Linked DNA regions of Pelodiscus sinensis. Each later gene encodes a partner of the first gene's protein in a complex. Links are inferred from orthologs where the notes say so. Each region holds a gene or a part of one and is shown in the gene's direction. Other genes may lie near its edges.

Region 1 (7,105 bases):
CTTTGGAAGGGACCTCACAAGGAAGAAACCGGAAAGGAACACCATCTACTAGAAGGCATGGAATGCGTAGTCCATGGGGATGGGGGTTCCACGGCCACCGCCCCCAAAAGAAAACAACGGATGGTAGTTGTTGGGGACTCCCTCCTAAGAGGGATTGAGCCATCCATCTGCCGTCCGGACCTGGAATCTTGAGAGGTGTGCTGCTTACCAGGAGCTTGCATTCAGGATGTGACTGAGAGGCTTACCAAACTGATCAAACCTTCGGATGGCTACCCCTTCCTGCTTCTCCACGTGGGAACTAACGATACGGCCAAGAATGACCTTGAGCGGGTTACTGCGGATTATGTAGCGCTGGGAAGAAGGACCCAAGAATTCGGCACGCAAGCGGTGTTCTCATCCATCCTCCCTGTTGAAGGGAAAGGACTGGGCAGTGATCGTCGAATTGAGGACATAAATGCTTGGTTGCGCAGGTGGTGTCACAGAGAGGGCTTTGGTTTCTTCGACAATGGGACTCTGTTCCAGGCACAAGGATTGTTAGGAAGAGATGGAATCCACCTAACGAAGAGAGGAAGGCGCATCTTCGCAGGCAGGCTTGCAAACCTAGTGAGGAGGGCTCTAAACTAGGTTCGTCGGGGGACGGTGACCAAAACCCTGAGGGGAGTGGCAAAGTGGGATACTGGGAAGAAATGCAGAGAGGAACGAGCAAGAAAGGAGTACCCCTGATTCGAATGGAGAAGATAGGGCGATCAACTGGTTAAGTGAGGTGTTTGTACACTAATGCGAGAAGCCTGGGCAACAAACAGGAAGAACTGAAGACCCTGGCCCAGTCCAAGACATATGATTTAATTGGGATAACACAGACTTGGTGGGATGACTCGCATGACTGAAGTGCTGTCATGGAAGGGTATAGACTGTTCAGGAAGAACAGGCAGGGGAGAAAAGGAGGAGTTGCACTATATGTAAGAGAGCACTATGATTGCTCTGAACTCCAGTATAAAGAGGGAGAAAAACCTGTTGAGAGTCTATGGGTTAAGTTTAAAGGAGCAAACAACAGCAGTGATGTTGTGGTTGGTGTCTGCTACAGGCCACCGAATCTGGCCGATGAGGTAGATGAGGCTTTCTTCGGACAACTGAGAGAAGCTTCCAGATCAAAGGCCCTGGTTCTCATGGGCGACTTTAATCACCCTGACATCTGTTGGGAAACCAATACGGCAGTACACAGGCAATCCAGGAAGTTTTTGGAGAATGTTGGGAAGAACTTCTTGACAAGTGCTGAAGGAGCCGACCAGGGGTCGTGCGCAGCTTGACCTTCTGCTCACAAACAGGGAGGAACTAATAGGGGAAGTAGAGGTGGGCGACAACCTGGGAAACAGTATTCATGAGATGGTAGATTTCAGGATCCTGATCAAAGGAAAAAAGAGAGTAGTAAAATGCACACCTCAGACTTCAAAAAAGCAGGTTTTTTGACTCTCTCAGAGACCTGATGGGCAGAATCCCCTGGGATGCTAACATGAAAGGGAAAGGAGTTCAGGACAGCTGGCAGTATTTTAAAGAAGCCTTACTGAAGGCACAAAAAGAAACCATCCCAATGCGTAGCGAGAGGCAAACATGGTAGGAGACCAGATTGGTTAACAGAGGAAATCCTTGGATAACTTAAGCACAAAAAGAAAGCTTACAAAAAAGTGGAAACTTGGACAAATGACCCAGGAGGGGTTTTAATGTATAGCTCTAGAATGCCAGGGGGTTATAAGGAAGGCGAAAGTGCAAATGGAACTGCAACTGGCTAAGGATGTGAAGGATAACAAGAAAGGTTTCTACAGGCATGTTAACAAGAAGAAGGTGATCAGAGAGGATGTGCGGCCCCTACTGGATGAAGGAGGTAACCTAGTGACAGAGGATGTGGGGAAAGCTGAAGTACTCAATGCTTAGTTTCCAGGGAACTATAGGCCAGTCAGTCTTACCTCAGTTCCTGGAAAAATCATGAAAGGGATCCTTAAGGAAGAGATGAAAGTGATTAGGAATAGTCAGCATGGATTCACAAAGGGAAAGTCGTGCCTGACCAATCTGATTAGCTTCTATGATGAGGTAACTGGCTCTGTGGACGTGGGAAAGTCAGTGGATGTGATATACCTTGACTTTAGGAAGCCTTTTGATACAGTCTCCCACAATATTCTTGCCAGCAAGTTAAGGGAATGTGGACTGGATAAATGGACAGTAAGAGGAATAGAAGGATGGCTAGAAGGCTGGGCCCAGCAGGTAGTGATCAATTGCTCAATGTCATGATGGCGGTCGGTTTCTAGCAGAGTGCCCCAAGGTTCGGTTCTAGGAACAGTTTTGTTCAATATCTTTATTAATGACCTGGATGTGGGGATGGATTGCACTTTTAGCAAGTTTACAGATGACACTAAGCTAGGGGGCAAGGTAGATATGCTTGAGGGCAGAGATAGGGTCCAGAGTGACTTAGACAAATTGGAGGATTGGGCCACAAGAAATCAAATGAGGTTCAACAAGGACAAGTGCAGAGTCCTGCACTTGGGACGGGAGAATCCCAAGCATTGTTACAAGCTGGGGACCAACCAGTTAAGTAGTAGCTCTGCAGAAAAGGACCTGGGGGTTACAGTGGATGAGAAGCTGGATATGAGTCAACAGTGTGCCCTTGTAGCCAAGAAGGCTAATGGCATATTAGGTTGCATTAAGAGGAGCACTGTCAGCAGATCCAGAGATGTCATTATTCCCCTTTATTCGGCTCTGGTGAGGCCACATCTCCAGTTCTGCCCCCCCCACTACAAAAAGGATGTGGACGCATTGGAGAGGGTCCAGCGAAGGGCAACCAAAATGATTAGGGGGCTGGAGCATATGACTTATGAGGAAAGGCTGAGGGAGTTGGGTCTGTTTAGTCTGCAGAAGCGAAGAGTGAGGGAGAGGGGTGATTTGATAGCAGCCTTCAACTTCCTGAAGGGAGGTTCCAAAGAGGATGGAGCAAGGCTGTTTTCATTAGTGACAGATGGCAGAACAAGGAGCAATGGTCTCAAGTTGTGGTGGGAGAGGTCCAGGTTGGATATTAGGAAAAACTATTTCACTAGGAGGGTGGTGAAGCACTGGAATGGGTTACCTAGGGAAGTAGTGCAGTCTCCATCCCTAGAGGTGTTTAAGTCTCAGCTTGACAAAGCCCTGGCTGGGTTGATTTAGTTGGGATTGATCCTGCCTAGACCAGGGGGCTGGACTTTGTGACCTTCTGAGGTCTCTTCCAGCTCTATGATTCTATGAGAACACAGCCTGAATGTGCACTATTTGAAAAGCTGGATTTGACAAGTTATGATGTAAATGTCAAAGAAATGTGCAAAAAGATGCAGTAGCAGAAGTCCCATTAAATACAGTCTGTATGATTCATGTCAATTATCAGTAATATTAAGTTGCATATTTTGATGCAATTTGGCTCTTTGGTTTGAAAAGGTTGCCGACCCCAATCTTAGGGCTTGAAGGTTTCCAGTTTCCCTTGTTTTTAAGCCGGTTGCTCAGTGCAGCAGGCTGTTGATGTAAGACGGGAGCCCCGATAACAGTCCTTGGCTCTGAAATAAGCCTTGACCTCAGGTGCTTCCCCGGGGCTTCCGTTAGGCCTGAGGAGCTCCCTTCGGTGGAATGCCACGGGCCCTCGTTGTACAGCAGCACAGAGATCGGGCCGGGGAGACTCTTCTTCTCCCTGGGCCGCTGCCCGGAGTGGGTGGGGGCCGTTTGTGTCCACGCGGGACACTGACGTTCGAAAAGAGGGCGAGGCTCCCGCACAGGCGGGGGAGGGAGGTCAGGGCTGGGAGCAGCAGGCGGGGGAAGCGGCCATGCTCACCTGCTTGAGGGAGCCCATCCCCGGGTCTCGGCAGCGTGGCGGGCTGTGGCCGGGCTCCCGAGGGGCAGGGGCGTGTCATTACCTTGGTCTCCACCGTGGGCCCCTCCCGATACCCGACCTCCCTCTTGAGGCGGCTCAGGAAGGCGGGCTCGGCCGGCCGCACGTACGAGACCTGCGTCTTTTTACTCATGATGGCGACCGCCGCGCACAGAGACAAGCAGGCAACGGCAACAGCAACAGCGAGATCGAACGACGCACTTCCGCCCAGGCCGGAAGTGAGAAACCGACCCGAGCCCTTTCTTGGTCACATGACGGGGGCGCTGTCTGACAGGCGCGTCAGGACGTCCAACGCTCATGGCCGCCCCGGTGATGACTTCATAGAGGGAGGCGGCCCCGCCCTCTCCCGACACTTAGCGCCAAATTCAAACGGGCCGCCATTTTGAGCCGCGGTTTGTGTCGGTGCTAAGGGGGGGGGGGGCGCGCGCCGGGCAGAGAAGCGGGGCGGCAGCGCGCGCACCATGGCTCCTGGCACCAAAGGTGAGAGGATCCCAAGGGGCTGCCCGCGCGGCCTTTGCTCCGCTTTGCGATGCTGCTCTGGCGGGGACGGGCTTTTATCCCCCGGGGCGGGGAGGGAGAGGAGCGCCCGGAGCTAGCGCCGGGGCCGGGTGTCCTGCCTCCCGTGCCCCCTCCGCGGTGTTTCCCACGTCGGTGCGGGGCGAGCAGCCTGGCTGAGTGCGCAGCGCCGCGGGGCCAGGCTGCGGGGGGGGGGGTCTTTTCCGTGTCCACGGCAGCTGCGGCTCTGGGGGGCGGGGAGGGGCGGCTGCCTGGGCGGACTTGGGGGGAAGAAGGTGGTTTGTGTAAAAGGAAATCTTGCCTTACTCGTCTGCTAGAAAACACTTTAAAAACGACACATTGCCGAGTAGCGCGGGAGCGGAGCAAAACGTGCAGAGGGTAGCGTGAGCTTTCCTGGGCACAACCCACTTTTTCAGATCTAGCGCTCTTTGAGGGAGTCAACAAACGTGGACGAGGGGGATCCAGTGGACATAGTGTGCTTAGATTTCCAAAAAGTCTTTGACAAGGCCCCTCACCAAAGGCTCTTAAGTAAAGTAAGTTGTCATGGGATAAAACGGAAAGGCAGCATGTCCCAGCCAGAAAGAAAACAAATAACAGGGCCTAGGGCGGAAGATTGTCAGGGGTGCACATAACGCACCCGGCCTGGGGAAGAGTGAGACACAGTGTCCTGTAAAAATGAGGAAGTAGCTCCACGAATAGCGGGGAAAGGGATGACCAGGGGGTAATGATGTGGGCGGAGAGGGACCTGGCAGCACTTACACAGAGCTCATGCAGCTAGAGTACATAAGAGAAAAAGCAGGGTGCCAGCTTCTGGCTAGTGCTGAACAAAAGTCTTAAACATGCCTGAGAGTAGCTTGTTATGATGCATCCTAGACAACTATCTGGCTCAGGAAAGGTGCAGCTCAACCTCAGTGTGGACTAGGGATGTTAGATGTTTCATTTAATTTAATTTAATAATCATGTAACTGTGCTAAATCTTATCAATTATATGATTATTTAATTATCCCTGGGGGCAGGTGAATCTGGCAGCCAGTGCAGTGCGCTCTGTGCCCCCTGCCACTTCACACTGCTGCCTCTGTATTAAATGCAGCAGTGCTGGGCTGCAGCAGGCCCTGTTTATGGTAATCCTGGGCTGGCCGCAGACAGAAGCTGCTCCTCATCCTGCCTGATACAGATGCGGGGGGGGGGGGGGGGGGGGGAAACAGCTCCGTGAAGCTGGTGCTCCTGGGGATGTTATGTGCCATGGATGTTGCCAGACAAGAGAGTGCTGGACCAGAGAGCTTCAACCTGTAGATGCCCTTTTTCCTCCAGATAAGAAATTCAGGTTACTAACATTCCTTTAAAATGGAAAATGCAAGCAGTTAGATAATTTAAGCTATTGATTACTTACTGACTTTGTACCTCCTCTAGGTCTGTAGGTGGTGAAATGCTATTCATTCAATAATTTTTTAAAAATTGGTTAATTGTCTTGTGCTGTTTAATGTGTAATTTTTTGGCAATGTTGCATATTAGTTTGAAAATAGCAAATGCTGCTTTATAAATTGATAACCTTGTTACAGATTGCTTCAATTAAGCATATCAGAGTTGAAATACTGTAGCATTGGCACATTTGGGACTATTTTTCTCATAGTGGAAGAAGCATTTTAATGTATCAAACATGCTCTTTCGAAGACTAGCCCCTCTGCACCGTGATGTCAATAACATGCTTGGATCCTGCAGTGGTATTTATTATAGGGTGTTTGACTAGCCATTTTATGCAATAGATGTATGATTATAGATTAGACTTGCTCTTGAATAATTAAATCACCATAGCTGCCTATTGTTGGAAACAACACATCTTCATGTAAATGGAATTTTGAAGAAATATATTAAAAGATGACACTGGAGAGGACTGGGTACTTTATAGCATTGGTTTTACGTATTTTGTTAAAGATTAAAGTAAAAATAAATCTCAACTGTTTAGCTTTCAATACATTACTTGCTAAGTGTTGTATGTAGTAAAATGCCTTATATTGCTTTAAAGATACTAGGGGGCTACCGCTGCTGCTTGCTACACTCACCAATCCCCCTCTCTCTAGCCGCTTTCACAGAAATATGCTGATGACATCATTCTGTCATGCACAGGGCTCGACAAATACACTCACCCGCTCGCCCACGGCGAGTAGATTTTGCCAGCTGGCGAGTGCAGGGGCGGACTGGCCCGGTGGGCCATTGTAACGGGCTGGCCGAACCTTGCACTACAAGCGGCACGGCCCCATCCAATCCGCCAGCTGGCGGAGGAGCAGAGCGCTGCTGGGGAGGGGAAACTGCGGCGTTTCTCAGCGCCAGACTGCCTGCGTGCAGCTGCAGCTTGAGGAGGCGGAGCGCCGGCAGATGCCAGGACGCTGGCGTGACGTGGCCCCGCCCATTTTAAAGGGCCGTGGCAGCTCGGCTCTGGCTGTGTTCTCCTGGCTGTGGCGTGCCCCACCGGCTCCAGTCCTGCCACGGCCCCAGCCCCTTCCTGGCGAGAGACTGCACCCTGCCGACCGCCCGGCTCATTGCACCCACCCCGCATCCCATCTGGCTCCCGCTATCCATTCACCACGCTGCCCCTGCACCCCAGTTCCCCTGCTCTCCCTCTGGCTCTATGCCACCCTTGCACCCCACACTCTGCTCCCCCCGATCCCTGCTCCCCCCCCAGCTCTGCTGCCA
Region 2 (6,891 bases), on another chromosome or scaffold:
AGACCAAACACAGAGACACTAGACAAATCTGTGTCACTGCCCATGATGGTTTAAAACTCCCTAAACTGGTGGCAAAATCCAGCAAATGTTTGCCAACTTTTTATAAACTTTTCTGTTGTTACTTCTCACCACTAACATCACTTACCAGTGGGGTGTACATGTAAATGACCTTACGACACATGGCAAATGGTAATTCACAGTTATCCCTCCAAATCAACTTGAGATCAGGGTGGTCAAGAATACCTGGGTCCATTTTCTCTCACTGGTCAAAGGAACACACACACGTGTCCTACTGACAACATAACTTCTATGTAAATCAAAGAGGAAAAAACAAGAACAAATCATGTCAAACCAATCTGATAGCTTTCTTTGATAGGATAACGAATCTTGTGGATAAGGGAGAAGCAGTGGATGTGGTATACCTAGACTTTAGTAAGGCATTTGATATGGTCTCACATGATATTCTTATCAAACTAGGCAAATGCAACTTAGATGAGGCTACTATAAGGTGGGTGCATAACTGGCTGGATAACCATACTCAGAGGGTGCGTCTTGACTGGCAAGATTTTGTGCAAACGCATTCGCTTTTGTGCAAAAACTTGCCACCTGTCTACACTGGCCGCGAGAATTTGCACAAGAGCACTGAGGTTCTAATGTTAGAATTCAGTGCTTCTGGCACAAATACTTTGACGCTCCCGCTCAGGGATAAGCCCTCTTGTGCAAGAATAATTGCGCAAGAGGGCCAGTGTAGACAGGCATCTTCATTTTTTGCGCAAGAAAGCCCGATGGCTAAAATGGCCACCGGAGCATTCTTGCACAAAAGCGCGTCTATACTGGGCACGGACGCTTTTGCGCAAAAGCACTTTTTGCACAAAAGCATCCGTGCCAACCTAAATGCTCTTTTGTGGAAACACTTTTAACGGAAAAACTTTTCCGTTAAAAGTATTTCCGCAAAATCATGTCAGTCTAGACGCAGCCAGAGAGTAGTTATTAATGGTTCACAATCCTGCTGGAAAGGTATAACAAGTGGGGTTACGCAGGGGTCTGTTTTGGGACCGGCTCTCTTCAATATCTTCATCAATGATTTAGATATTGTCATAAAAAGTACGCTTATTAAGTTTGCAGATGATACCAACCTGTGAGGGGTTGCGACTAATCTGGAGGATAGAGTTATAATTCAAAATGATCTGGACAAATTGGAGAAATGGTCTGAGGTAAACAGGATGAAGTTTAATAAAGACAAATGCAAAGTGCTCCACTTAGGAAGGAACAATCAGTTTCACACATACAGAATGGGAAGCGACTGTCCAGAAAGGAGTACTGCAGAAAGGGATCTAGGGGTTATAGTGGACCCACAAGCTGAATATGAGTCAGCAGTGTGATGCTGTTGCAAAAAAAGCAAACATGATTCTGGGATGCATTAACAGGTGTGTTGTGAGCAAGACACGAGAAGTCATTCTTTCACTCCACTCTGCACTAGTTAGGCTTCAGTTGGAGTACTGTGTCCAGTTCTGGGCACCGCATTTCAAGAAAGATATGGAGAAATTGGAGAGGGTCCAGGGAAGAGCAACAAGAATCATTAAAGGTCTAGTGAACATGACCTGTGAAGGAAGGCTGAAAAATTTGGATTTGTTTAGTTTAGAAAAGAGAAGATTGAGGGGGGAATATGATAGCAGATTTCAGGTATCTAAAAGGGTGTCATAAGGAGGAAGGAGAAAACTTGTTCATCTTGGCCTCTGAGGATAAAACAAGAAACAATGGGCTTAAACTGCAGCAAGGGAAGTTTAGCTTGGACATTAGGAAAAAGTTCCTAACTGTCAGGGTGGTCAAACACTGGAATAAATTGCCCAGGGAGGTTGTGGAATCTCCATCTCTGGAGATATTTAAGAGTAGGTTAGATAAATGTCTATCAGGGATGGTCTTCTAGACAGTACTTGGTCCTGCCATGAGGGCAGGGGACTGGACTCGATGACCCCTCAAGGTCCTTTCCAGTCCTAGTATTCTATGATTCTATGATTCTTTGTTGCTTTTCTGTGAGCCTCCATTTCTCAGATAGGGTGAAAGAGTGTCTAAAAGATGTCCCCACTTCAGATGCAGCCCATACAGTGCTAACCTGGCACATGGCCCCAGTCTTCCAGCCAGAGGCATGAGCGATGCCTATAGGTGGGTGTAGTTGTCTCTAGCACACTATGTCCAAAGTCTTAGGCTGTCTACACACTGGGCCACTTATTCCGGAAAAGCAGCCGCTTTTCTGGAATAACTTGAAAGCTGTCTACACTGGCCGCTTGCTTTTCCGGAAAAGCAATGACGATCTACTGTAAAATTGTCAGTGATTTTCTGGAAAAACTATGCTGCTCCCGTTCGGGCAAAAGTCCTTTTCCAGAAAAACTATTCCGGAAAAGGGCCAATGTAGACAGCACAGTAGTCTTTTCCGCAAAAAAGCCCAGATTGCGAAAATGACGATCGGGGCTTTTTTCCGGAAAAGCGCGTCTACATTTGCCACGGACGCTTTTCCGGAAAAAGTGCTTTTCCGGAAAAGCATCCTGCCAATGTAGACGCTCTTTTCCCGGAAATACTTATAACGGAAAACTGTTCCGTTTTAAGCATTTCCGGAAAAGGGTGCCAATGTAGACACAGCCTTATAGACAAGACCCAAATTTTTCAGCAAGGTTCTTGGGTTTGCAGCAGGGCAGTGCTGGCAGGCAGACACAAGCAGTGTCTGAGACACTGGCATTGGATAAGCCAGTAATGCATTATGTCAGGAAATGTTGGGACAATGTCCTTAGCTTGGGGCAGGGGAGGTGGCCTGCAGGCAAGAAAATGAAAACACATTTCTCTCAAAAAGGAAACTCCAAAATTTTTCATTTTGGGAAGATCGTACTGTTCCAGTTACATAAGAACATAAGAACGGCCGTACTGGGTCAGACCAAAGGTCCTTCTAGCCCAGTATCCTGTCTGCTGACAGTGGCCAGCACCACGTGCCCCAGAGAGGGTGGACCGAAGACACGATCAAGCGATTTGTCTTCTGCCATCTCTCTCCAGCCTCTGACAAACAGAGGCCAAGGACACCATTTTATCCCCTGGCTAATAGCCCTTTATGGACCTAACCTCCATGAAATTATCTAGCTTCTCTTTAAACTCTGTTATAGTCCTAGCCTTCACAGCCTCCTCTGGCAAGGAGTTCCACAGGTTGACTACACGCTGTGTAAAGAAGAACTTTCTTTTATCAGTTCAACTCCCTACCACCACGCTCCCTCCAAAAACCACATGGAGTAGCTGGCTGCCCCCAACTTATTCCTCTGGAAACCCAGGCTCTCCAGCAGCCTGACAGGTGAGCTGACAGAAAACCAACCAGGTTCCCCTAGAAACCTACCTGCCATTCATAGGGTGGATGAATTTCCTGTCCTGTTAGGGGGAGTATTATGGGATTTCACCCTGGGAGGAGTGAAGGCACAACACTTCTCACTTGCAAGAGTGCACTCTCCAGAGACTGAGGAGTCAGGGGTGCAGCTCACCACGGCATCGGACAAAACTGCTGGTCTTAAAAAGTTTAAGAAACACGGACCTAGCGGCTACCAGAGCCTTCTGTTGGCAGTAAGTGGAGACATTCAGTGCTAAGCTGCAAATGACAAAATGATTCCTTAGGGCAGTGGGTCTCAAGGTGTGGTCTGCTAACCCATCTTGCAGGGGGCCGTGGGGCTCACCTCCGCAGTGGGGAGCCGTCACCAGCGCTCCACCCCCCGCCGCCCAGGTTGGAGTGCGGGGGAGGAGTCTTGCCCCGCTGCTCCCATTGGCCGGGAATTAGGTTTTTCGTGGGGTACCCAAGGCAGCTCAGCCAGCTTCAAAGGGGTCGCAGGCGGGAAAGTGAGGCAGCGCACTTCGTGCGGGGAGGGCGTGCGTTACGCAGAGCTGCCGTTGTGGCAGTGTGACGAGCCGGCGCATTGTCATCACCATATGCAGGTCTAGGCTGCCCCTCAGGCGGGTGGCGGTCGGGCGCTGACTCATGCTCCGCGGCTAGGGGGAGGGGAGCTCGGATAACGTGCGCCGCCTCCTAGTGGGGGCGGGGCGTGGTACTAGCCGCGCGCCGTGACAGGTCAGACCGGACACCGTGAGCGTCCCTGATTGCCCAGCGAGAGACAGTCACGTGTCCGCGCCGGCGCGCGAGAGTGGCAGTTGCGGTCTGCGCTGGGAGCGGCGGGAAGATGGCGGCCCCCGCCGGCTGGGCCTCGCTCTGTGAGAAGTTCCGCAGCTCGCTGAGCCTCTCCAGCGTGGAGTCCAAGAAGGACCCGGAGAACGAGCCCTATCGCTCCAAGTACGCCGCCCGGGAGCTGCTGGAGGAGATCCGGCAGCTGCTGGGCTCGGAGGAGTCGGCCGAGGGCGCCCGTGCGGGAGAGGCGGCGGCGCTGCGGGCCATGCGCCGGGCGGTGGTGGAGTACGAGCTGGGGGTGAACCACACCGAGACCGAGGAGCTCTCTGCGGGCGAGGAGCACCTGCTGAAGTGCACTCGGCTGCTGGAGCGCCACCGCCTCTCCCGGGACTGCGTCTCCCTCTACATCCAGGCCCAGGTAGGGAGCGGCTGCCACCCTGGAACCCGCCTGATTGACGAGCTGCTGCCACAGCGGGAGGGGAGGGCGCCCTGAGGATGTGATTTTCTCTCTTGAGCCTAATGGTGATAGAGATGTAGCCGTGTTAGTGTGATGTAGCTGAAACAAAATACAGGACTATGTAGCACTTCAAAGACTAACAAGGGGTGTGTCTAGACTACATGCCTCCTTCGACGGAGGCATGTAGATTAGCCAGATCGGAAGAGGGAAATGAAGCCGCGATTAAAATAATCGCGGCTTCATTTAAATTTAAATGGCTGCCCCGATCTGCCGATCAGCTGTTTGTCGGCAGATCGGGGGAGTCTGGACGCGATGCCCCGACAAAGAAGCCTTTCTTCATCGACACAGGTAAGCCTGGTTTCACGAGGCTTACCTGTGTCGATGAAGAAAGGCTTCTTTGTCGGGGCATCGCGTCCAGACTCCCCCGATCTGCCGACAAACAGCTGATCGGCAGATCGGGGCAGCCATTTAAATTTAAATGAAGCCGCGATTATTTTAATCGCGGCTTCATTTCCCTCTTCCGATCTGGCTAATCTACATGCCTCCGTCGAAGGAGGCATGTAGTCTAGACACACCCAAGATGGTTTATTCGATGATGAGCTTTTGTGGGCCAGACGAAAGCTCATCATCTAATAAACCATTTTGTTAGTCTTTAAAGTGCTACATAGTCCTGTATTTTGTTTGAGCCTAATGTTGGCTTATCTCCAGATGGGGGAATCTCCAGTCACTCTAGGACAGGGTAATATTTGGAATCGGTTAGGCCCGATCCCCATTTGCAGACTTGGGGTGTTCCTGACCTTTGGCAGGATAACAACATAATCCTAGCCAGGCCGTGGCACATCTTACTTGTGATTGGTAAGGTGATGTAAGTGGGAATATGAGTTATTGAAATACTGGAATCTTAAAAGTTTCAGAGGAGGAGCGGAGTTAGTCTGTAACAGGAAAAATTTAAACAACAAATAGACTAGTAATACCTTAGGATATTTCTACACTTGCTCCCTAGTCCGAACTAGGGATGCAAATGTAGCATACCAAAGTTAATAATGAAGTGCGGGATTTAAATATCCTGCGCTTGATTGGCATATTCGCGTTCGGTCACCAATTTAAAAATCCACTAGTCCAAATTAACTCGCCGCGTGTAGATGCGGTATTCCGAAGGAAACCCTTTCCCTCAGATTGCACAAGGAGTAACAGTTAATCTGAAAGAAGGGGTTTCCTTCAGAATACCGCATCTACACATGGTGAGTTAATTCGGACTAGTGGATTTTTAAAATGGCTACCGGACGCGAATATGATAATCCCGTGCTTCATTAGCAACTTTGGTATGCTACATTTGCATCCCTAGTTCGGACTAGGGAGCAAGTGTAGACATATCCTTAAAGATTAACAAAACATGTAGATGGTATGAGCTTTTGTGGGGGCAACCCACTTGGTTGAACATGCAATGTACTGCATTCTGCCATACCGAGTGGAAATATATCAACTACACAAAAACTCTCACAGATCCAAACAGACATCATCTTTCTTTCCAAGTGCAAACAGATGAACATCGTACCTAAGGGACTGAGGGTGAAAAACCCACTGCAATCTACATATCCCACAGACTACAGTTAGCGATTATGCCACACTCTTGCAAAGAAATTCAGGAACCACCTTATCAGCATTTTATTCAACAGACAGAAGAAAATCAAGGAGGAGCTCTCAACATTAGAAACTATCCTAGAAAACCAAGCTTCCATACAGACTTCATGTTTTCCAGACTTTACTAAAATTCAGTAAACCACGTACAAGGATCACTTCATCTCCCTTTGGAATAAAAAGGACAATAAACTATCCAAACTCCTACATGCTTCAAGATCTCTCATTCCAGATACTTTCAGTTCACCTAGCAATATTGTCAACGTATCCAACCTCTCTCTTAGGACAGATTCCTCCACGGGGCTATCTTGAGGACTCTCTTTCTGCCCCATCACCCCTACAAATATAATTCAGTTCTGTGGAGATCAGGAAGTCTATTTTCACTGCCTCCACCTAAAGGAATATTTCCAACACACTGATGTACAATACACTGACCTTTCTGCTCTCCCCTGCCAATCCTACAAGAGGAAGGCTTCTGTGTGGACCCCTACTAACGGTTGTAATGAGAGTCTTGACTTCTACAACAACTGCTTCCACAAACGTGCTCAAACTGCTGACACATGCTGTTGTTTGCTGACTATAACATACAGCCTCAGTCATGCAGAACACAATGCTATACGCAGCCTCAAACAATTCTAACATCATAATC

Evidence for each region.
Region 2: the proteins of KIF15 (region 1) and KIFBP are in contact, whole or in part, in a cryo-EM structure (PDB 6ZPH), measured with the Homo sapiens proteins. The link is inferred for Pelodiscus sinensis from reciprocal best matches to the Homo sapiens genes KIF15 and KIFBP. Residues at the interface, in NP_064627.1 of Homo sapiens: Leu187, Glu189, Ile191, Lys192, Lys193, Arg231, Glu232, Arg235, Arg271, Met280, Arg281, Leu282, Lys283, Glu284, Ala285, Gly286, Asn287, Asn289, Arg290, Leu292, Ser293, Gly296, Gln297, Ile299, Ala301, Val303, Asp304, Val305, Gly306, His312; in NP_056449.1 of Homo sapiens: Lys26, Tyr33, Lys36, Ile106, Glu109, Ile147, Ser150, Glu151, Glu153, Thr208, His209, Tyr212, Tyr213, Gln216, Gln219, His220, Phe224, Gln238, Glu248, Trp249, Ile251, Asn252, Thr255, Gln258, Phe259, Asn262, Tyr415, Val416, Thr417, Glu421.

Annotation. Positions count from the first base shown.
Region 1 is NC_134712.1:177,955,130-177,962,234, forward strand, and holds the start of KIF15 (kinesin-like protein KIF15), read left to right. Parts: upstream 1-4,100; 5' UTR 4,101-4,359; coding exon 4,360-4,378; intron 4,379-7,105. Other genes in the region: uncharacterized protein KIAA1143 homolog, read right to left, coding at 3,924-4,031. UniProt on the Homo sapiens protein: Plus-end directed kinesin-like motor enzyme involved in mitotic spindle assembly.
Region 2 is NC_134718.1:28,668,229-28,675,119, forward strand, and holds the start of KIFBP (KIF-binding protein), read left to right. Parts: upstream 1-3,888; 5' UTR 3,889-4,202; coding exon 4,203-4,565; intron 4,566-6,891. UniProt on the Homo sapiens protein: Activator of KIF1B plus-end-directed microtubule motor activity. Required for organization of axonal microtubules, and axonal outgrowth and maintenance during peripheral and central nervous system development.